Linked DNA regions of Oreochromis niloticus. The protein of the gene in region 1 interacts with the protein of each later gene in a pairwise test. Links are inferred from orthologs where the notes say so. Each region holds a gene or a part of one and is shown on either strand. Other genes may lie near its edges. The genes, in order: katnal1 and cox17.

Region 1 (12,701 bases):
CCAGACTGAAGGAGGTGGAGTGTTACAGCGTCCAGAGAAACCAGTGGACATTTGTGGCTCCTCTGCCTCATTCTCTGGGTAAAATGCAGGTGGTAGCCCTACACGACCACTTGTACGTGGTGAACAAAAGGCGAATGCTTTGCTACGATCCCAAGAGGAATCGCTGGCGCCACTGTGGGTCGCTGAGGCGAGACAAGCTTCACAAAGCCTGCGTGTTCCAGGACCAGATCGTCTGCGTGTGCGACATCCCTGTGGTGAAAGCCTACAGCCCCACTAGGGGTGAGTGGAAGAGGCTCGGCGACATTCCCATCGACAACCGAGCTCTAAATTATCAGGTGATCCAACACAACGGCAAACTGCTTCTCCTCACTCAGACTTTACTGCAGCACAACAAGAACAGAGTCCTCATCCACGAGTACGACCCGGCCAGGGACTCGTGGAAGAATATCATGGCGGTGTACGTGTCCACGCTGGGGCCCGTATGTGTTTCGACGCGCGTTTACCCAGCGTGCCTTAGCTCTGCCCACAGCTTCTCCACAGAGGAGGACGATGACAGTGGCTCCAGTGCAGACTGGGATTTTGACGGGCTGACAGACGCAGACTCAGACTCTGGCAGCTCTAGCTCATTCTCTGATGAGAACTGGTAGTGGAGTGTGTTGCAGTGTCAAAATTAATTAAATTATTGGGTTTTTACAGGGTGGTTTTGTCTAACGGTGGGGGGATTGAAGTATTTATTCAGTATTAAAACAGTCAGGAGAAGCACAGGTTGTTCAAAAAAAAATCTTTTCATACGTCTGATCAGTAATGTTAATATTGGGACACATAAAACCAGAGAAAATGTTTACGTTGCCCTTTCACAGTATTTTTACTGGGCAAATACAGGGGTTACTAATTGGGAATAATTGCAATTCTTTGCAATAATTGCTGGAACTGAGCCATCACTTAACGCTGTTACTTCCACCCTTGCTTTTCCTGGTTCAAAAATGTCAGAGAATCTGTGGGACTAAACAGGATCCATGTGGAAACAGAGTGGCAGTGAAAGTGCAAGTGAAACAAAAGTTTCACGGAGTAGAAAAGGGAAAAAAAGAAAACTGATGGATTAGCAGTAGTGCTTTGCGTCTTTTGCGTGCAACACCTAAAGGTTTCACATGGATACCACAGCTGTAATGCTTTCATCACATGCTTCCTGAGGACCTTCTCTCCGAGCTTGTAGAGCCTGTGAGAGATTTGTCCACGCCAAACCCAGAAGAACCTAAAGCTGTACGAATGTGCCCACTAGTACTCCTGAGTGGAGAGCCGCTATTAAGCTTTAACTTTATGTTACATGAAGAGTTATTTGGGTAAGCCATTCTCTTTAGAGTGAATAAATAAGCATGCGAGCTTAAGATCGGCGTGAAATCATGGCTTGAGTGTTTGTGATATCAGGCATCTCAAGTGCCTCTTGTTTATGACTATGAAATAACTGGTTATGAACTGGGCTTTAAAATTTATGGTCCTTTTTATGTAGTTGATGCACACAGCGACATCACACACACACACACAGGCGGTGCTGTAAAAACTACTGCGTGAAGTCTAGGAGCCAATGTACTGTACACTCTCTCAGGTTTAGGCTTCAGCAAAAGCCCATTTGCGATGACAGAGGTTCCTTTTTAGATTTAGTGCGATCCGGATGTTCTGGTGACGGCTGCTGTGTTTTATGATTTTGTTTGAAATCAGAGAGTGTATGTGTGTTTTCTTATCTATACTTTATTTTTTTGTGTGTTGCAACAGTTTTTTTTTTTTTTTGTATTGCTTGGGTGTGATGATTTATCTGCTTGCCGGAACACTGCAGAGAAGCCCAGCCAAGCAACCCCTACGCTATTTGCACTTACTGAGATAAATGGTGGAGATAAAATATTACAAATCCTCATCAGCAGAATGCTGGATCACACAAAATAATGACCATAAAGTTGAATCAGCACCTCTGAAAACACTGAAGAGTATAATCACGAATGAGTCTTAGTCAGGGGATTTTTATCAAGCAGTTTTGGGAGTAAAGGGAGAGGAACTGTGGGTAATGACATGCAGCGAAGGCATGGTAGAAATGGAGCTGCTGGCTCCAGAGCTGGGTTTACAAAATAAACTGTTAAATGAGTGCAGTCCCGACTGTCTCTCTGATGAACAATGAAGTTTATTGAAGTAGATGGGGTGCTTGGCTGTGGATTATAAAGCTGTTTTTGGTAAATGTGTCAAATAAACATCAGTGTATGCTGCAGAGCTACAAGTGTGTGTAGTGCTGAGTTTTACAGAAGTCGTATTTATTGCCACTGCATGGTGAAACTGGAAGGTTCGGGTTCTGAAGAGTGGTCTTGTGAGTATTGTGAGTTTAATATGGTGCAAAACAGAAAAATAGTTCAAAAAGGTTCTAATTCTAGGAGGATTGAGTTTTAATAGAAAAATGTGTCATTAATGAAAGTATTGGTAATACTTTTTTCTTTTTTATGAGACATTCATGATGTGTTGACTGACTGAATTGCTGCAGAAAAGCAGAATGATTTTTTTTTCTTTTTAAATCTTACGTTTGTATTTATTTGAGACTGTCTCTGTTTAATGGATTTCCATTGTTAGATGTTCTCTTTGTTTCTTTTTTGTAAGTTGTACAAATTTGTATGAGGTTAATATATTAGTGCTCTTGGAGTGTTTGTGGTTGAGTGATATGTCTGTATGTATATAAATATAATAGCATACATGATTTTAAAAATAAAAATTTATTGATTTAAAAAAACTTTTCTCAAATATTTTGTATTTATTGTGCGGAAGACTTGATTCACCCCTCATTTCTTTTTTCCAATCAGTTAGACTTTCTAGTCTTTATTTTTTTTTAAGTGTTTTTTTCTAAGAAATGCGGGGGGGCTGTTGCTGTTCCTTGAAGGCCAATCGGGAATGGAGAGGATGGCTGCCATGAGGTCATTCTTAAGGAAGGGAAACAGAAAAAAAAATCGGCACAACCATGCTGTCATTTTTGTGTATGGCCAAAAATGAGTAATTAAAATGAAAGGAAAGGGGAAAATAATCTCTAACCATATTCCACGTTACATTTTTTTAATTGTTCTTTTCCTCATGCAAGTTCTCTATCAGATCTCTAAAGAATAATGTGTACAGCTAAATAACACAAGAATTTGATGAATTACTTGTATTCTGCACGTAGCCTACAGCTACGTTTAGGTACATAGGTTCAAAGGTACTCTCCTTTGGAGTCTCGCGATATTTCAGAGCTGTAGCGCCGTCTAGACCGCGAGAAGATGAGCAATGGCAATAGAAAACAAACCTGGGGAGGAATTTGACACAATTTTCAGTCGAAACGACTCCCTGGAGCTCTCCTCTCACCACGAATACGACACTACACACGCTCGGATTTTCAAGATAATAGTAATAGGAGACTCAAATGTGGGGAAGACGTGTTTGACCTACCGGTTTTGCGGGGGCACTTTCCTGAAAAACCCCGAGGCAACTATCGGGGTCGATTTCAGAGAGAGGACGCTGGAGCTGGATGGAGAGAGTATCAAGGTGAGAAGTCCTACATTTTAAGAAAGGCACACGGCAGATACCCGTGAACGTCCACTGCTTTTTTGTCTATGTTAGGTTTATAGGTCAGCTCACAGAGCCTGACCTGGAGTCTGTTTTCAGCCTGTAGGCATGTGATGGAGCTTACTTTAAAATGACCGGTTGTTAAAATGAAGGCTTTGTCACCCCTATGAGGCCATTGTCATTGTTCACAAGAAAGGGAATAACGAAACTTGGTGTAAAGCCAGTTCACAGTCATTTCTGTTCTTGTTCATTTTCATTCTATGCCTGCTTATAGTCCTGTTTGCCTGGAGATTTTCCCCCTTTTTACGAGCTTCCAGTCAAAGTGAAACAGATCTTATTAACCATGCCTCAGTCTGATGAAGTGATCCAGACGCAACACAATAACAAGTCACCCAAGTAGATTTTTAATAGTTTTTTCCCGCAAATTTAAACCCAGTTTTTTGGAGGTGCTGTCAAAAAAGGTCTATTTTGGAGTACTTTCCACAGCAGACAATTTGACGCATCACAGTGGGAACATGCAGTCTATGATAATGACACTCACATTAGCTCTGTCTGTCGGTGTTTCAGTAAACCATGACGGTGAGTGAGTAAAAGGCAGTGAGCCAGGATGCACATTACCCGAATGCCGATAAAAGGAATTCAGCCATCTCTGGTTTAATAATTTAAACCTCAGGTTCTCCTTCTATAAGATGCTCAAGTGTCTGCTGCACAAATGTCCCAACTATCCTAACTTAACCGACATTTTTTTAGCAAGCGCAAAAACCCAGCAGTTGATTGAGTCTGTGGTGATAAAGTATAGGGATGGGTATTGATAAGATTTTAACGATTCCGATTCCATTTTCGATTCTGTTTAACGATTCGATTCTTTATCGATTCTCTTATCGATTCTTATTTTTAAAAAGGAGAACACTAAGGTCGATTAGCTTAGAATTTTGTTTTATATCTTCTCTCTGAACAAGATAGAAATTTAGGAGTAACATGGCCTTATAAACCCAACAGTGAGATCTTAAGAGATCCAGCCTATGGCTCTTCAATGGGGTGTCACAGGGTCCCCGGGGAAAATTGTAAATGTAAAATAATAAAATAAATATTCTTCTGTAGCAATAACAAAGTATAACATAAATTATTCTGTAGCAATTACACAAGAATATTCAGTAATGTCCCTGCCTACAATTAAACACATTCACTTACCATCTGCTGTGGCAAATGGCTGCAAGGTTTTGACCACAAACTTAGTCACTGCTCGGTGACATTCGGGCCTGAAAAGAGACGCTACCGGTGGACTGCAGCGACAACTGCCAGCGAGCGCCAGCCAGACTGTCTGTCTCTCTCATCACGGTCACCTAAATGCAGCGCACAGTAATGGCAGGTTTTGTAATAAAGCAGATCGCGCTAACATAATATGCACTGTTAGTTGATTATTTACCTGCCGCATTAACGGGAGATGACGTGCAAACGTTACCACTGCTGCTGGGTTGAGATTCACGAGTCCGGAGCGGAATTAAAAACACGACATTCATTTAAGTTCATCGCGTGTTTTGTGAGCAAATGCTTTTGCATATTCGTAGTGTTTCCTCCCTTAAATGAAATATCTACTTTGCAAGTATTGCAAGTTGCCCTGTTGTCATCCGTTCTGGTAAAGTATAACCAAACTTTTGAGCGTTTGAGCCGCTTAGGCGCCGTGTTTCCTGCCAGGTACGCTCCGACGCTCCGCAACGTGGTGACGTCATTCGGGGCGACTGGAATCGATAAGGGAATCGTTTGCAAAAATGGCAAACGATTCCAAGGAATTGAAACAGTGGGAACCGGTTCTCAACAAGAACCGGTTTTCGATACCCATCCCTAATAAAGTATGGCTTATTCTGCTGTGCAGTATCCTTCCATTTCCCTGAGGCTGCTAAAACTTTGTTTTGAAAAAAATCAAGATGCATCATGCTGAAACATTAAGAAAAAAACAGTATGTAATTCTGCAAAAATAGAGATGTATATTTACACACACACACAAACACATACAGCATATGTAAGCACTTAGTAGGAACAAACGTTGAAGGTTGGAGCTGAGCAGCATAAACAAAATAGGGAAGCTGGAATGACGCTTTGCTGCCTCCTATTGAACTGGCTGGCAAAAACACAAATATAAAATAACACTGGCCGTATGCTTTAAATAGGACTCTGTGGCATCAATTTGTTTCTGCTGTGCTAGTTACAGATTTGGGACACAGCAGGTCAGGAGCGCTTCAGGAAGAGCATGGTGGAGCACTACTACCGCAGCGTCCACGCTGTGATCTTTGTGTATGACGTGACCAGCCTTTCTTCCTTCGAGAGCATCCCCGAGTGGATTCAGGAGTGCAGCCGGCACTCCGTGGGGCCCCTTGTGCCCCGCATCATGGTAGGAAACAAGTGTGACCTGAGGGACCGCCGGGAGGTTCCCACATCAGCCGCACAGTGTCTCGCTGACAGCTACAACTTCCCGCTGTTTGAGACTTCAGCCAAGGACCCGTCTGAAAAGGAAAATGTGGATGCTATCTTTCTGACTTTAGCTTACAGGCTGAAGAGCCACAAACCCCTGAGACTAAAGCAGCCCAGTGAGAGCAATTTGAGGCAAATGTGGAACCAGAGAGAGCGGGAAGCAGCAACTTGTCAATGCTGAGGTCACCTACATCCTCCATGGATGTACTTGGATTATATAATACTATCATGGCAGTCCTTCAGGAGTGTGCTGAGAAAAGCAGATTTCAACAACACAGAGGCTTAAAATTTATAAAGCACTCTCATATCAGTTAGCTAGAAATGATAGAAGCTTGGTAAGATTTTACAATTTTCCCTGCCTGGTATGAGGCACAGCTAAATTAAATAAACAAGTCAGTAAAATGCATGAATGCATATGGAGGTATGCCGAGTATTTGTAGCCCAAACTGCACTTCGGATCGCCGAGTCTGCAAACAGAAGATTGCAGAGCGCACTTTAGTGGATGCATGATCATAAATGATATGCAGCCGTTGCCAGTACAGCAGCATTACTGCACTATAGTGTATCTGCAGGTCTCAATGCAATTAAAAGACAAACGTAATGAAGAGAAAAATTGATTTTTTTTGTGTGTGTGTGTGTGTGTAAAGGGACCAATAGGATATGCTGATACTGTGACGAACACTGCAATTGAATGTTCTGAAGTGATATTTTAGTTCTTAAAAGTGCAGTGTGAGACTTGGTGCTGTTATTGAATGTATTTGTGTCAGCTAATGCACATGGACAGCTGTTTGAAGAGAAAGATCAAGAACACAAGGGATAAAATGTAGCTGCTCCACCTAGTTCACTTGAAAAGCATGCCTAAAAAGAAATTCAGTGGATCTGAGGAAAAACACCACAGCTGACTGTTTAATGTGTTGCATGTATACAATAATAATAATACACTGTAAAGATGAAAATCAATAAAAGTGGTTGTTTCGGTGTCATGTTCTTTTCTTAATGTTTCTGGTGTTGCTTGCCACTCCAAGTGTAATGTTAGCGGTGGTCACCGCTGAGTCAACACTGCTCTGTCAGTTATTGCTTCACAGCTGGTGTGTTTATATGTGTGTGTTTTGGGGTTTTTTTTCATTTTAATTCATGACCTGTAGCCAATCTAGATCCGCTTTAATTTGTGCTAAGGAAAAAAAAGTTTCACTTAATCACTTGAAAAGGATCGTGTTACACGATTAAAAGTTCCAAAACTACAGCTACAAGCTTTGTAGTGAAATTAAAGACGATACCTTGCAGTATTTGACACATTAGCGACGACCAGTGGCAAACCTGTGCATGACATAGCTCTTTTGATACATTAGCGTAAACACGTAAAATAGCAAATCCTTCATTTGTAGCTAATTGTGTATTTATACATAGAATACATCTAACAATTTAGGCCTTACACTAGGTTAGATTTTGACTGCGTTAATATATAAGCGGCGATCACAGGTCAGCAGCCGAATTGCTTTCATCGGCGACGTCTAGGGTGTCACATTTACCAGCCTGCAGCAAATCCGTGAAAGCAGCACGGCAAAGAGCCGTTTGTATTCCTCGCGCGGCGTCTCTCCGCGGCCATGGTAACACTGTCCTCAATGCTGGACATCTGATTAAAAAGCATACAAGCGAGGGCTTTTCATACAGGTATGAGAATTTTTTTTGTAAACACGCAATTAAAATTTAATTTAGCTCGTCGGTAGGGTGTTTTTGTCTACCGGCAATTTGAACGCACGCTGGGAGGATTAAGTACCGTTTGGGTTATTGCCACAGGATTCGTTTTGTTTTCTCCTCTGTGGCCTAGTAGCAAGCTAGCAAAGGGCTAACGCCGGTAATATTACAGGGTGTGCTTAAAAAAAGAAGCTGATTTGAACAGAGGTTTCATTTAGTAAGCAGGTGAAGCGCCTGGGGCAAATGCGTTCATTCAAAACCGACATCAGCTAGCTTAACTAACGTGCTTTACCGGGTGTAGCCGTTTCTGAGGTATCTGATGGGCAGCCGACATTCAAGGAGCTGCCCCATCGTGTTATAACATTCAATTATAATGAGGACATTTAATAATAGTAATATTAATAAAAGGAAGAAAAACGTGGAGGCTTTAGATTGAAACACTGAACTAGAATTAACCTTTGAACTCTTATGTCTGTGAAGGTTCTCAGTCATCCAGGTCATCGTAGTCAAAGTAGTCAGTTTCTTTGCAAACTCCTTTGACCTTTGAACTCTTACTGTTTCACTAATCAGGTCATGCAATTGCTTGTTTCTTTTTTTCCACGTAGCTGTTATTAAGCATGAATCTGTCAGACATATGTGATAACGCCAAGAAGGGCCGAGAGTACGCCTTGCTTGGGAACTATGACTCCTCCATTGTGTACTACCAGGGCGTCATTCAACAGATCCACAAGCACTGTCAGTCCCTCAGAGACCCTGCACTTACAGTCAGATGGCAACAGGTGAGTCCCGTGGTATATCAGTTACTGAACCTGAGACTTCAGTTCAACTGTACATGGGACTTAATCCTGGATGAAAAGCTTTCCTTTAATGTCAACGGCTGTTTTTTGTTCAAGGTGGATAATTTTAAGAAAACTTTAATTTGTGTCATTTCTCATGTTTGTTGTGATCTATGAGTTTGGTCGTCTCTGGTGGACAAAATACATGCAAAAGCATTCTGTAATGTTGCTGGTGTAAATGCAGAGACATTATAAGAGAGAAGCCTGGCACTCAGAGAATCCTGAATTTAAATCTATGGTGAACTCTGGCACGCAAAGATGATGGCGTAATTTAAATGAAAAATAAAAAGCTAATATCGAGTATTTTATAAGATTTATCTGGTGATTTCTATATTTGCTCTTTTTATGTCCTGGTTACCATTGACTTAAATGCTAATTAAGCACTTTATTAAATTAAGTAACTACCCAAATTGTTGCCTATATATCGATCTGCTGTGTTTTATGCCATGCTTCTTGAAGGAGTTTTTTGTTGTTGTTGTGGTTTTGCTTTTTTGCCCAACATTGTGCATTGTTTTGGTTTTTTTTGTATGTTTTTGTTAGTTCAGCTGCTGTATTTTCAGCTGGCTGCTCAGTGATGCAGTGCAAATACAATACTTCTTCCGTTTGTTTCCAGCTTAGTAAGGAACTGACTGAGGAGTGCGAGCAAGTGAAAACTATCATGACAACGCTGGAGAGCTTTAAGTCAGAGAAGCCGACTGACATCCAAGCCCTGCAGCCGGAGAAGAGAGTAGATCCAGCTGTGTGGCCCCCTCCCATCCCTGCAGAGCACAGGTGTGTGGATGTGTTGGAGCTACGTTTTTAGCTTCATGGATTTTTTTTCTTCTTTTCCTGCTGTCAGTTAAAATAAATAAGTGAAGTTTTGAATATGTGAGCCAGCAAAACAAATACCAGCTGAGGTATCAGTTGGGGAAAAAAACATAAAGTAGTTCTTATTTAGCGTTATAGTAAGCGTGTCGCACTGTGATCTAAAAAAGTTTGGGTTATAATTTTGTTTTAAACTATACTCCAAACTCACCCATAATAAACTACATGCACAGTGCAGTGTCTTAGCCTCACTCTCTAAATTTTGGAGGAAAAATTGTATTATTTTAAGACCATTAATTCCATATAATACATATAATACACAGAAAGCTTAAAAAGATTCTTGCAGACTGCTATCTTTTTGTCAGTTCTCTTTTTTTTCTTTTCATGTGGAGTTTAAAACAACACAAACAAAAAATATGGACTTTTTTCCCTTTTAACTGCAGATTACAAATGCTTTCTCAGTGGCAAACTATATATGTATTTAACTTACTGAACATCAGTTTTGACAGAGATGATTGTTAGTGATGCTACCCAGAAACTCTGGAACACAACATCTCCATAAGGAAGAGCTCTTTAAAGTACAAAGAGACATATTTTGCATAATCACTTTCATCTTTACAAGCACAATGTGCCTCTGCAGAAAAGTAGCAGAGCTGGTTTATAGCTAATGCTCTATAGAAACATTTGGTAAACTGATGGGAACCTGTGGTTGATGGCTCCCTATGTAGGTGTGTCCTGTTATTATCACACTATTATCCATTTGTATATTCCTACGCATATGTCTCTGTAGGAATCCTGTTCCAGTAAAGCGGCCCAACAGTGGAGTGAAGCAGCAGAGGAAAGAGTCCCCTGGCCTGCAGCATCGAGGGGCAGGGCCGGGAGGCCATGCTCAGGCCAGCGCTAAAGCAGACCGGCCGGGATTCACAAAATGCAAAGATGATAAGGTTTAGACTCCGGCTGTGTCATGGTTTAGTGGACAGATTGATAAATAGGAAATGAGTAAGGCTGTGCTCCAAACACATCAGGTTTTTATTTTGTTTCTTTTCCATCTGTTTTTCTCCATCAGGGAAAGAGAGGGGGAGATGTGCAGGGGGATGAAGGGCATAAGAAGTTTGATGGCACAGGATATGACAGTGACCTGGTGGACTCGCTGGAGAGAGATATTGTGTCCCGTAACCCTAACGTGCACTGGTATGGAAGGATCCTCTGATACTTATATAATACTTCTAAGGTTCTGCAATGAGGACATATTTCAACAGCGCTGCTGGCTAATTACTTTGGTAAACTGCAGGAATGACATTGCTGATTTGGAAGATGCTAAGAAGCTGTTGAGAGAAGCAGTGGTGTTGCCGATGTGGATGCCTGATTTCTTTAAGGGCATTCGCCGCCCATGGAAGGTACACGCACATACACAAACACACCTGTGATTCTTCACATATTCTCTACAGGCAAACTTTATCTAGTTCCTTACTGGGAGTTTTAAAAAATGTGTATGTAATTACAGAAATCTATAAAGATGTTTCTCAGCTGTGAGCTACTCACTTTGTTCAGTAACACACCTACCATTTTGAGTATCTTGCAGCATGTTGCACCAGCTACATCAAAGTTTGAGCGTTAAGGTCAACACCAACTTCTACATCAAGACTAGTTAGCTTCACACTAAATCTAGCACTTCATTCAAGTGCACCATTTCTGTTGACACTATCACTGTCAACTCAAGTCAGCCTCAGTTCAGTTCTGCAGACTTTTGTTTTATCTTGCTCGTTTCTGTCCACATGTTTCCAAACTTTCCTGTATAATTTCCTAAAAAATGATCGTCTCGTTGTATCTGATCACGTGAGATTTGGCCTCATGCAGCACATTTCTCTCTCTCTCTCTCTCTCTCTCTCGAGTAATTAAAATGTCAAACTTAGCATTTCTCTTCTGCCGTGGCATAAAAGATTCCATCAACAACTTAACAGTTCCAAGTAAATACAGCATAAAATCACGTCGAAGTCGTTCACAGTCAACATGTGCTTGTTTTAAATAAAGACAATAAATAATAATATTTTGGCTCACCTAACAGTAACATTAACAGTAAATGTTAAACAAGTCGCGCCTGTTCAGAATCAGAAAGTGACGCTTTCCTTCTTATTTCTGTCTTGTGTTCATGCATGCAAATTTCCATAAAGTCGAGGTTCAGTGAGTGGAGAGAGAGAGCAAGCTAACACAGAGAGCTTGACAGACATCACAAAAAACCACTAAATTATCAAATAATTTTCATTTGTGATAACTTCAGCCTCAAATAAATGACTGATGAGGAAGATGAAGACACATTTTAAGAATAAGAACCAATCTGCAAATGTCATTTGATAAAATGGAACAACTTGCATATGTAATGTCATTCATTTTATCTATAAACAGGTAACATCTACCAATACACTGCAGAATGCAGTTGGCTAAATTCAGAAAGAGCGGTAAACTTCGAAGCCCGGCTGATCACGTAGCCTGATCACAAGTAAAATGCACCAACTAAAATGTTTTTACAAAGTCACAGTCTCCACGGACTCCACAGAGATGGGAGGCTTCTTCTGCATCAGCCTCGGTTAAACTTTCATCATGTGAGACCGCTTCCCTTGAGGCCCAACCATGTGAGGGTTAATACTTTATGGGGGGGGGGGTTATAGGAGCACAATGCTTTTCATTTGTCTTATATAGGCATGCATAATTAAAATTCTTCACTAACTTTAAATAGATGGATAGACTTTTTTTTCTTTTTCTTTTTTTAATCGCTGAAAGTGAAGTAAAATTAAAGAGTGATAAGTCAGTTGCAGAGGAAAACAGGTTAATGGTTGTTTTCTCAGCACACAGGTGAGTGGAGGCATGTATTTTATTAGCACGCACATTTAGGTCTACGCAGTTCCGTTTTGTTCTGTGCTCTGCAGCACGTCTGACTGTTTCTACTCCTAATGCAGGTGCACATACGCTCCCATCTGCTCCTGCTGAGATTCTGATCAATACCCACCGCAGTACTGTTTTATATTCCGAGTAGCTCGACTCAGTCCTGCAGTCAGCGTAAGACACACTAGCCTAAATTGACTGAGGCATAAAAATAAAATTTCTTTAAAATGAAATGGATTATGTCAGCCGTGCTTCCTTTTGTGGTTTCTGTAATCTCCGTAGCAAAAGGCACCGAGCAGATATAGAACTGTTAGACGCCGGAGTGGCAGCGATATTAAAAAATGGTTATAGAGGAGATTTAAATCAGGGTTTGACACTTTTGTTTAATATCACAGGCTTTTAAATAACACGCAATTATCCAGTCTCAAACAGGGATTACAGTCTACGGGA
Region 2 (11,510 bases), about 5.1 Mb from region 1:
CCAGGTCTTACTTTAATAGTTTTGTTCATTGTTGAAATATACAACATTACACGATTACTTCAATACAGCAAGGTCGGATGGTACGAGAAACATGAGGAGCTAGGCTGTAAGTGAGCCAGCACTTTAGTCAGATTATCTTAACCACCTCATTTGTTAGCCCTGTGATGGGTCTGGTGACCTAACTAAGGTGTACCTTGCCTCTCACCCTATCACAGCTGGCCCCAACCCTACACAAGTGGAGAGTAAAATACATGTAATGGACTTTATTTGCAAGTAAAATAATGGTAATTGCAAAGGAAGGCTGAGAGAACACGACTGCTGTAAGAAGACATGCTCAAAGTTGGAGTGGGACGTTGATGTGTAAACTATGAGGAACACGTGGGATAATGGTTTAATCATTTTCTTGTGCAAATGTACATGTTTGATCATTCAACTGCTTGTATTTCTAGCTTATTGTGACTTTAGAAAAAAAATAAATAATGGTTTTTAATAAACTCAAAATATGCTTTAAGGACAGATTTCTTGATCCAAACCTAATTTACCAGTCAGTTAAAAGCACACTACCCACAGAGGTTTATGACACAAACTGCCACAATGGACAAGAGAATAGACAAAAAGCTTACTGAAACAAGAACACCTCCAAAACGCGAGCGATGTGTTGATAAAACACTACATTAACCCTCAGCCTGCCATTCTAACATGATCTGATTCCTGAACAGAGCCCAGATTTTTGGCTGCAAGATCTGGTAGCGATGAGACAGGCATCTTTCATCAAAAGAAAAAGACAGCTAAAGGACAGCATAAAGTTTCCAGGATTTATGGGAACCCCCAACAAAACACACACTACAAACCATTTATTATCGCAACTACCAGTTTATAAACAAACATAGATAATGCAATAAAAACACCTTGCCAGAGAGATAACGGTGTTGTCCTATATGAAACTGTCATTTGTTACGTAAACCCATGTTGATTGAGCCCAGTGTTTCTGTATTTACTGTTTGCCAAACACAGATAGGCAAATTCACTTAGAAAATAAACATATTGCCCATCAGTGCACGAGCATGACATTGCTAAGTGTCAGATTTGTCACTAGAGTCCGGTGTCGTAAGTATCAGCAGCAGGGAGGAGAAAGGCTGATTGAATTTCAGAGGTGAGCTTTGAAGACTATCTGGCATTTAAACTTACTTTCTCCACTTCGTTGAAGAACCGGACCAGTCTGGAGACTCGAGCCAGCCTGATTAAACTGAGGATCCGCACAAACATCAGTATCCTCATCATCTTGTTGGTCTTGGAGGGGTTGTCATCGTTGTGGTAATGTAGTCCCTGACATTGAACATTAAAAATGCTGCAATTAGAATCTTAATCCACCTCATTTGCTCATTTACAACTTTGCTTAATTAATAAGTGTCAGCAAGGCTTTCTTCCTTTTCTAAGTGCTAACATATACAGTACAGAAGAAGTACAGTGTTGGCTTTTCCTGCCTCTTCCTCTTTATTATTACCGCAAACAGCAGTATGTAGCCAATTGGGAAAGCTGCTATAACGTCTGGAATGAACCATGTCCTCAGGTAGCTGACTCGGATCCGCTTGATATCCAGAATTGCTTCCTGTAAAACAGAACAGAGCAGATAGATGAAGACGCCGTTCACCATGTGCTACAATCGCATGTATAATTTAACACTTGAACTAAAACAATATTTGGAGAGGTAATCCAAAACTAAGAGTGAGTGTGATGTCAGACGAGTTTGGCAGGGTGCTGAAAATGTTACTGAGGCACATGCATCAATATTTCAAGCAGACTGAGAGTAAATCTGGCAAAACCAGATGTGCGGTCGAGAATAAACACCACACACAGGAAAAACATCACAGATGGGCCATTAGGAAGACAGAAGTCACGAAACACGAGCCAGCGAAAACAAACAGGATATATTGTGCATAATACTTAATTTGAAACGTTATACTTCTCATTCATCCACAACATCATAATCCCCGTTATAAAATCAAACAGCAGTTGCCGTTTTCACCCGTGTCCAGGAGCTAAGGGGGATGCCGCTAATCTAGCCTTTCGTGTATTCAGTAGATTACAGATGGTGCAGAGATGGAATGTATGTGCTCGTCTGCACCCGGATTATAGACTTCCAGATTGTGTCTGAAAATAGAATATAGCCACTCTCACCTCTGCGTCCTCGGTTATGATCCCCGTCCGGAAATTCAGTGCCACATCTATTAGGAACAAAGTGTCTGAAAACACGTTAAAGCCTTCCCATGCCAGCCCGCTGTTTCCGTCCAGAAAGGCTATCTCCATGGGAATCCCAATCAGGTTCAGAAATGTGATGACCATCATGATCAAGATGTAGTAACTCCTAGGGGAGGAATGGTCACAAAAACATATGTGTGACTTTCCAGTAACTCTTATTTTCCATGTCACAGTGTAGTGGAAAGTCTCACATCATTTGCTAGAAGAACTCATTAGACAGCCAGTAAGGCAAGCCGATTCATGCACACTAAATACTCTGATAATGTAAGTGTACATCTCCTCAGCCAGGGTACGATTGCCAGGCTCAAATAACTCTGCTCTCTGATCTCAATTGTTTCATTCCCTCTCTAATTTCCCTCCATCTGATCATCTTACAGACTAATATTAGCAATCCTGCATATATAATACAAAACCAGCTCTCTGTGAAAACGCGTTCCTTAAAGAAGTCATTTGATAGGTCCGTATTTTTCTTCTAACTCGGTTATTGCTTATAAACCTTGGATCGTTCTTTTAGGTTTTCTTGTGTCACTTCAAAATGTATTTGTTTCCTTTTATCCTAAAAATAATGCATCTTATTTTCGGCTTTATTTCTAAGCTTTCTCTATTGTGATATCAGAAGAAAATCATTCTCATTGCCAATAAATGACTGGATGAATAAATACTGTTTAGCAGTCAAACAACTCTAGTCCTTAAACACACTAGAAAAAAACACTTTAAAAGTTTAAACTAGAGAACTCAAGAGGAATTCCTCTTCTGTCTCATCCAACAATGGTGTGAACGGTGTGATTTATGGAATATGCTAAACTTATGGTACTCAGTAAATCTACTGGATACAGTAAATCTATAAGCAGTATCTATATTTGTTTTCATTAATGCACTTATTCTAATGATATTCTAAGGAACAAGTTAATGCAATGCACCTTTGTATTTCCAGTAAATACTCCAAAAACTGAACTATAAAATGCATAATTATTTATTAAATGTAAGGGAGAAATTAAGTAATCAATTAACTATAAAAACTTACAGAGACAGACCAAAGAAACAGTGGAAGTGATATGCATGACTGACCTCAATCTATCAGATATATTAAATACCTCATGAGGCTGAAAGGGTGAATGACAAAGACTCCACTCTCCAGCTGTCGCATACACTCCTTCTCCACGGCCACCTCGCTGCCGTACACGTACAGGGACTGTCTGTTCAGTTGCGGGAGAAGCAGGGCTCTCCATCCACAGTTGGCTTTGGTGCATGCTACGTTGGGACCTTTCAATTTCTCCATGGCCAACTTTAGTTCCCTGTGATCAGCCGAATGCCATCCTCCCCTCTGCTACTGCTGCTTCTGCCTCTCCTGAGGATGAGTAGAGCCTGACTCTACCAGCTCTGACCTCTCCTATTGGTCACAAGGTAATATTCTAACTAGGCTCCCAACCTCAGGGCTTATTGAAGCTGTGCGGAGCGAGGCGAGTGGATACCCGCCTTTCTGCTCGATCCCTCCCTCCCTCCCTCCCTCCGCACCCTCTCCGTCTGCCTCTCTCTATTTCTGCCCCACTCCACCCCTACACTTCTTTTCTTTTTCACCCAGCTCATCAACTATTCAGTATCTGTGTCTCATCCCCACATAAATCAAGCCGTGTCAAGAGGGCAAGGTCCGGCTCACATTAATACAAAGACAATGATGGGTGTGTGCATGTACAGGGGATGGGAAGGGATCGCAATTATTGTCATGTGAAATAGACATCTGGCAGCATGTACAGGGACAAGTTCAACCTGGGCCACCTCTAACTAGGGATGTAATTAAACCCTGTACTGTGTTACCTGATGCTGTACATATGCATGCAGCTTTGAGCCAGCTCCCATGTTGTTTGTTTGCACATATCACATCAGTAACAGAAAACAAAACAAAGGCTGAAATATTTATTTCCCTGGATGACAAAGTGGAAAATTTGGACCTGAATCTTTTTTGAACTCTGTTGGGTGGGTGGGATTCATTGCAAACTTGTTAGTTTAACAAACGAAAAATAAAACTGATATTAGAGGTTGTGCCAGCACAGTGGGATTAACTTAGAGACCGTGTCAGTGGGTAAGGTGAATTACTGGCAGCTTAGGCCATGGGATGTGTCTAATAATGTGAGCTACATTTTATGAGATGAAATCTTTTTTAATAACTTTGTACAACTGTCCCTGTGGAGAAGGGTACAGGAAACAATAAAAGTGGTTGTGTATAAGAAAATTCTCTCTGTTAGAGTCCAGACTTTGCAGATTTGCAAGGGAAATTCTGTTGACGTGATTCTTGTGTGTGTGTGGGTGTGTGTGTGTGTGTGTGTGTGTGTGTGTGTGTGTGTGTGTGTGCGTGTGTGTGTTAGACCTGTGCCAACCTGTCCAGGTGCACAGTGTCTTTCCCTCAGTGTGTGTCCTAAAATAGGCTTCAGTTCTTTGTGACCTCAAATCCAAAAAAAGACTTACGAGATTATTGGATGTCATACTGATGTAGTTTTCACTTTCACTGACATGTAAGTATTAAGCATTAAATTCAGGCTACATATCTTCAAATAATAAAGCAATGTCTTTTTTCTTGGTGTATTTGGTTATGGTTAATTTAAAGTAAAACAATATTAATATGGAATAGAAACAATGGATTTAACACATTCCACACTCTCTAAGTCAAACCATTTACCTCAACTTCCAGTTCTGGCATTAAAACATACACAACACATTCAGGACATCTGTAGTTCAGGAGGTACATTTGGTTGTCTGCTAATCAGAGGCTCAGCCGGTTCATTCTTTTTCAAGATGCTGAACCCCAGATTGTCCCTCATGCATGCTTTGGATGACTGCATGGTTGTTAGAAAGCCCTGACAAAAACAGCTCATTGAGTAACCCAACCTGCAGTTTAGCCTGCAACTGTCTTCTTTGTTTTCAGTGTATTTCGCAAGTTGTCTGTTTCAAATAATCTAATCAAACAATAGTAAAATAGGAGGCCTACATTTGTCTTTCAACAGAAGCTACTGGAAGTTTTCTGCCGACCGGACAACAAGGCATCAGGCGATCAGGACTCAAACTATGGCTCTCCACCTGTCTTCCATTTGTGAACACTGAAACAGTATTTGGATCAAATTGAGCATACATTGCAGACATCATATGCATTTATATATGTTTCACATACACAGTAATACTGTGGAAAGCATAGCAAAGACTGCAGAAAATGGAAGTGCATGTATCACAGTGAACAATATGCTTACTTGCTTATTTATCTAGCACACAGCTGGCCCTCAAACTAGAATAAGTGACTCACTGCCTCTGCTTACGCATTGCTTTGTTGTGCTGACGCACAATAGACCCAGTAGACATGTTGAAGCGCACACATACCTTTCAGTACTGCAGGTCCGAAAATGAACATTTTTCATATTCCAAAACTCCCGAGGCAACGTTGTGTATATTGCACCCACCAGCAGCAACTGCGTCTTACATAACAGAATATCTTACAGAATTGTGTAGAAAAATAAAATCTGTGCAGTGCTGATGTTAATTTTCTGCGTGTACACGTTCTTGATTATTACTAAAGTGTAGGTTTTATAGGAAGCGTGATGCTGCAACAAGTTATTTCTAATTTTTAAGATAAAAATATTTTAAAAATCTGGTTGCAGCTACTCAAATGTGAATGTTTGAAAGTTAAATGTTTGGGGTTGGACTCAATAATCTGCAATCATCCAGCACTGACATATCATTAATACCACGGTGCAATAGAACTTGAAGCTTGGTGATGTCGACCATGTCGATGAACCTGATATCCTGAATCTTAAATGTCAGCTGCCCTTTGTACATTTTTTCTAATGTACTAATTCTGTCAGTCTACAAAACAGAAAACAGAAGAACATAATATAGTGGGAATTTAAGAACACTGTAGCATTAGCACCTGTAGAAATGATTATGTACAGTCTGAAACATTTTTCAGATGTATTCTGTAATATATACCAAGCAGGTTTTGCACATTTTCTTTATACTGTCTAAATAAATGTAAATATATAATGTATTTTTCATATTGTCGTTTTCTTTATTTGATGTGTATGTGTATGTGTATTTTTTCAGTGGAAATATAGGCAGTTATAGTTATATAGTTCATAAATTATTTAGCAACATTTCTCTTGTTGTTACATCTGTAATGTGATATTTGGGTCTTTTATTCAACTATATAGTCCTACATTGTGCAGGACTATATAGTTGCCCTACCTATTACAAGAAATACAATTGTTTTGGTCTTTTTGGCCAAATTAAACCTTAACTATGAAAAACTTTTAACAATCAAAAGGGGACATTAGTTGGACATAAATATTTGTGATCCCCTTTTTTCAGTTCAAACAGAATATTTGAAATAGTCTGACCCAGTGTTGGAATATGGCAGATAACTAGCTGGCTAGCTAACTAGCAAACTAACTAAATAAAAAAGAAATCTTAAACTTAGTATCGTCTTTAGCTATTTTAGCTAAGGGTTTCAATTTTACATGTAAGTTAATGTTTAAAAAAAATCAAATTAGCTAATATTTTCAAGGTAAACTAATCAATAAATAATCAGCACATAAGTTAATGCTTGAATATTCAGCACTGAGAATAATGTCAGCATGCCTCTAACAAGTTCACCATACACTCACATACCTGTCTGCCTGGTGGTTTCTCTTCTTTCTCCTCGCCTTTGTTTCTAAGCACTACATTTCCCAAAAGTCTCTAACACGGCACATGACATAGTCACGTGACTTTGACACGCGAACACGTGTTTCCCGCATGTTAGTTTCATTTTGAAGGTGAAGCGTCTGTGTACCAGCGGCACTGTCGGCCTCCTCATACAAGTAAGAGAGCGTTACACAACATAGCTTAGCTACGTTCATAACGAGCAGGTGGCTTAATTGCTACACTACGGCTTGAGTAGGTTTGGACGAAGCGTTTGTCACCATGTTGTATGTTGTGTGCATGTTATTAGTTATGTCATCACTGTTAGCCACCGAGAGCTAACTTTGTTAGCTGACAGTAACATTACACAACAAGGGTTAGATAAAGCTAGTAAACCACAACACTGAGGCAAACACAGGGTTTGTTTGTTTGTTTGTTTTAACTTATTATGAGCAACTCTCTGAAGGCTCGGATACTTCAGAGTCATGTGTTGTGTGTTGCATGTGGTGACTTTGCCGGTTGACCTAATCATAACTACATAACTACCTTATCATTGCATCAGTTCAGCGCCCTTCAGCAGCATAAGTGTAATGGTAGGACGTTTCACGCGTAATTAGTTGATTAGCAGTTTTATGAAACGTCATAATGAAGCGACACCAAAATAATAAAAATAGTGGCTTACTTTGGCGAATCCTCACAGTCTTCTTTTATTCAACTGTATTTTGTATGATTATGAGCTTTCTGGTTGGACCGTGAGTGTTTGGAGTATTTTAGTGGCATTGCTTTCCTCATCCTGTGTTCTAGTCGTCAAACATCAATTAGTCCTTTTTGTTGAATATTAAAACAAAGCAATAAAGAATTCATAGGACCACAGTCGGTTCACACCTCTTTATTTGATATGTGAAGAAAAATTCCTGTTGCATATTCCAGCTTCCCTGTGAAAAGTGTTTGTCAGGTGACAAAGACATGTGTAAATCTAAATGAAGCCTGAGTGAAAATACACGCATATTACTCAGTGGTTAAAGTTTGCCAGTCCTCAAAACTCATCTCATTTCCTTGTTTCAGTCAGAAGATGTCAGCCCTGTCTGCTGCCAGCGTCGAGTCTGCAGCTGTGACTGAGAGCACAGAGCAGAAGAAGCCACTGAAGCCATGCTGCGCATGTCCGGAAACAAAAAAAGTCAGGGATGCTTGGTGAGGAGCTGGCCAGAGAAATTGAAACGGTCTTCACGTTTTAAGTGAGAATGGTTATTCATCCAACATCTTTGTTTCCACCAGCATCATTGAAAAGGGAGAGGAAAACTGCAGGGACCTTATTGAGGCACACAAAGACTGCATGAGGGCACTTGGATTCAAGGTCTAACTAGTTCTTCTGTGCGTGCTTGTGTGGTAAGTATTAAATAAAACCACTTCAAACAGTCCCAGAGTTAATTTTTCCAGGGAACTAGAGTCATTTGTAGCGATTAGATACCACACTAGAACATGAGTGCACCAACATGCACAATGTTACTGTCAGCTTTAATATAAATATAGAATTGCAAGAACTTTGAGTGACACACATTTATCATTATTATTTTTGATACTGTCAAAATGAAACTTGCATGTGATGGTTGCACACTGAGTTTACATGCCACTAGTTGAATGTGCTTTGACAGCCTGAATCCAGTTTGAATAGAGTCAGTGTGGCGTGAAAGTGGGCACCTGACCTTTCTGTGAACCATGAAAAAGCCGGACCTTACTGTAGTATCAGCATTATTTGTTTATGCTGGGTTTAACGGCTTTCCCCTTTTGCCAGGGCAGCCCTTTTTAGGACAGCTCAATTTAAATAAAATATCTTCCAGCTTTTCACTTGCATACAGTGTCAGGTGTGATGTAGTAGTCATGTGAATTGCTGATTGTGTGCATTTTGGTCTCTTGCAGTGTGTTGCTGTGTGTGGAAGGTGACCCTGAGTATTTGTTTCTTCACTCCCCCCCTGCACTTCTTATTTATACCTTTTGTTGGATTAACTGTGCGAAAACTATTTTTTCAAGTCTGCAAAATCTGAGAAATTCTGATGTGAAATTGAATAAAAATCCTATGCAATAAACTTGTTGTGAAGGTGTTTTATTAGTCGTGCACTCATCTTAAGGTTTGCATTGAGGATCTGTTCTGCCAAGGGAAACGGTTGCTTGCCACAGTTGCTGTTCCTGGTATGCACTTACAGTTAAATATAACTCTTGCCCCTGCAAAGTCAATACTTGGCATATCTGCATTCTTTTTCCACAGTGTGTCACTGTCACTGAAGTGTGCTTGGCTGTGGACATTATTTTCACACTTTGAAAAAACACTTGAAAGGAATGCGATAGTGTATTGGAAAACACTCCTAATTCACTTCATATTATGCCTACACTGAAGGGATTATATACATACATGATTATGTATATGTATACCATTACATACGTATATAGGACCACTTTAAACATAGTAAATATCCCTCAGTAGTCATGTAGGAAGTGTTTCTCACATCTCTGTAGGCTGACAAGTGCAAAGTAAAATTATTAGTATCAAAGATTCAATACTGTACACAGGTTGTATAAACAAACCTATTAACATAAGCTATGTTACAATTTACGTTTTCTAATTTAATGTGCTTTATAATGTTGTAGTTTGAAATTATTATGTTATATATATCTGTATATGTTGCCAGTCAGCAGTTTAAAAGTCACCTCAAATCATGTCAGATTCTTAATTCAGTGCATGCTTATACTAACTTAAAATGAGAGATTATCTGTTCACTTAGCTAACATTCATAATTTTATGTCTGCAACAAATGAGAGAAATCTTACACAGAAGGGTGCTCATGGAGAATGCAAAAACCAAAGCTCTGTTTCTCAAATTAAAAATGAAGCAATTGAGAAATTCGCCTACATTTATTGCTTTCTTCTTTTGCACGTGATCCACTTCTCCGTCAGGTTACATGAAATTTGGCAGATTTCTTTTTATGTTATCTTGCTGACAAACAGACAAATTGCACTGAAAACACACCCTCCACCTTGACGGGAGGAAAAAGCGCGTCTGGCTGTAACTTTTATGGCATTGAATTTAAAATCCTTCTTTTGATTACACTATCTCTGAACATTTAGTACTGCAAACAGTGTGCCTCCTTATTGCCAATATTGATGTTTGGCCGACATATTGGTTCGTCACTTACCGTACGCTAAAGGAAATCATAGACATTAGAAGCCCATCTAGCTTTCATCTGCTTTTATTCACTAGGATTCAGATTGCTGTCCTCCTGTCAACCAGAGACAACTAGCAGGGCAACAGCGACACAAACAGCCAAACAGAGAGAAAGAAAAATCTGTCAAAAACTGGGAGCACTGTTCCTGAATATATGGAGTTCTGTATTCTTGTACCTTAAAAAACAACACTTTGCTCAGTTTCGACTCATTTATAACACGATCTATTTTCTCCTGATTACTAGGTGTGAAATTTTTAATATTAATTTCCATTGCAAAGTTTTAATTTTAAAATAGCATTCGTTCTTATTTTCACTGAGCAATATTCATATAGACTGATATTTAGTCCCTGTGAGCTGTCCACACGCTGAGAGCCGGATATGTGAGGCGATGTTGGTGTGTGTGTTTATACCTGAAATCTGACCTGAGCTGCCATCCTACTTATTACAGTGTCTCTAAATATGCACCAGCAGAGCCACACTTCCTGCGAGCAAACTGGACTCAGTGAAGCCTGTGTGAAACTCTGAACCCCCCTGGAGGAACTTCTTTGTCGGATAAAAAAAAAGTGGGTGACACTTTGTGAGTCTCTCTGAGATACTACTTGTTATAGTCCCTCTTGTCCCTCCTGTTTCCTGCCTCCCTCTCCCCCTCTCTGTCTCTCTCTTGTGCTCTCTTTCTCTCTTTCTGTTATGTTAAGTAGCAGGCCTGCTTTCTGTCTGCCACTCTGTCCTCCTTGGGTTTCAATTCCAAACATGGTTATCCTTCTAGGGCCCTATCGACTCCCCCCCCTCGCCTCCCTTATCCTTTTCTCTTCCAGCTGTTGGCTCTACAGTGCAGGCCAGAGGGTGAGAAAAAGAGACAGAAAAGCACAGCAAGAAAGACTACGGGAAAACTTGGAAGGGAAAGACGGGGCGAGAAGCCAGAGGAGAGAGGAAGGGACGCATGATGAGAGGAGAAGAAACAGAGGAAACCCATTCCAGCTGTGTTTCTGCAACAAATAGAGTTGTGATAACATCTTCACGGTGAAGAATTTTCTGCCGCTGCACGCCAAGGGAACAAACAATTACATCTGACATTTTTGGTCAGTATCAGGCTGTTTATTTTTAATCAAGCTGTAATCCAAACAGATGATCTAGTAATAGGACAGAAACAGCACTGAGTTTGAGTGGATAACAAGTGTTATTGGTCCCTTCTTAAAAAACCCCACAAAACAAACAAACTTTGCTTTGTGCACCAAGAGCCTTTCCAGAACTTATTCGAAAAGATTTAAACATGAGTGCAGACAACTCTAGCCTGCTGGACAGCCTGCTCTTTCCCCCTCTCTGCGATGGCTGGAGCAACAACACAGAGGGAGCCATCTACCAGTTGGGTAA

Evidence for each region.
Region 2: the proteins of katnal1 (region 1) and cox17 interact in binary tests that used the Homo sapiens proteins (3 or more experiments, as listed by UniProt). The two-hybrid records come from large-scale screens. The link is inferred for Oreochromis niloticus from reciprocal best matches to the Homo sapiens genes KATNAL1 and COX17.

The regions. Positions count from the first base shown.
Region 1 is NC_031987.2:22,558,144-22,570,844, reverse strand, and holds the start of katnal1 (katanin p60 ATPase-containing subunit A-like 1), read left to right. Parts: upstream 1-7,539; 5' UTR 7,540-7,707; intron 7,708-8,336; 5' UTR 8,337-8,348; coding exon 8,349-8,624; intron 8,625-9,180; coding exon 9,181-9,338; intron 9,339-10,161; coding exon 10,162-10,315; intron 10,316-10,437; coding exon 10,438-10,562; intron 10,563-10,662; coding exon 10,663-10,768; intron 10,769-12,701. Other genes in the region: kbtbd7 (kelch repeat and BTB domain-containing protein 7), read left to right, coding at 1-647; zgc:101559 (ras-related protein Rab-33B), read left to right, coding at 3,289-3,546, 5,771-6,217. UniProt on the Homo sapiens protein: Regulates microtubule dynamics in Sertoli cells, a process that is essential for spermiogenesis and male fertility. Severs microtubules in an ATP-dependent manner, promoting rapid reorganization of cellular microtubule arrays.
Region 2 is NC_031987.2:27,667,737-27,679,246, forward strand, and holds cox17 (cytochrome c oxidase copper chaperone), read left to right. Parts: upstream 1-6,964; 5' UTR 6,965-7,100; intron 7,101-7,986; 5' UTR 7,987-7,993; coding exon 7,994-8,112; intron 8,113-8,196; coding exon 8,197-8,281; 3' UTR 8,282-8,307; intron 8,308-8,838; 3' UTR 8,839-9,005; downstream 9,006-11,510. Other genes in the region: hcn5 (hyperpolarization activated cyclic nucleotide-gated potassium channel 5), read right to left, coding at 1,189-1,326, 1,505-1,609, 2,179-2,365, 3,354-3,538; popdc2 (popeye domain-containing 2), read left to right, coding at 11,410-11,510.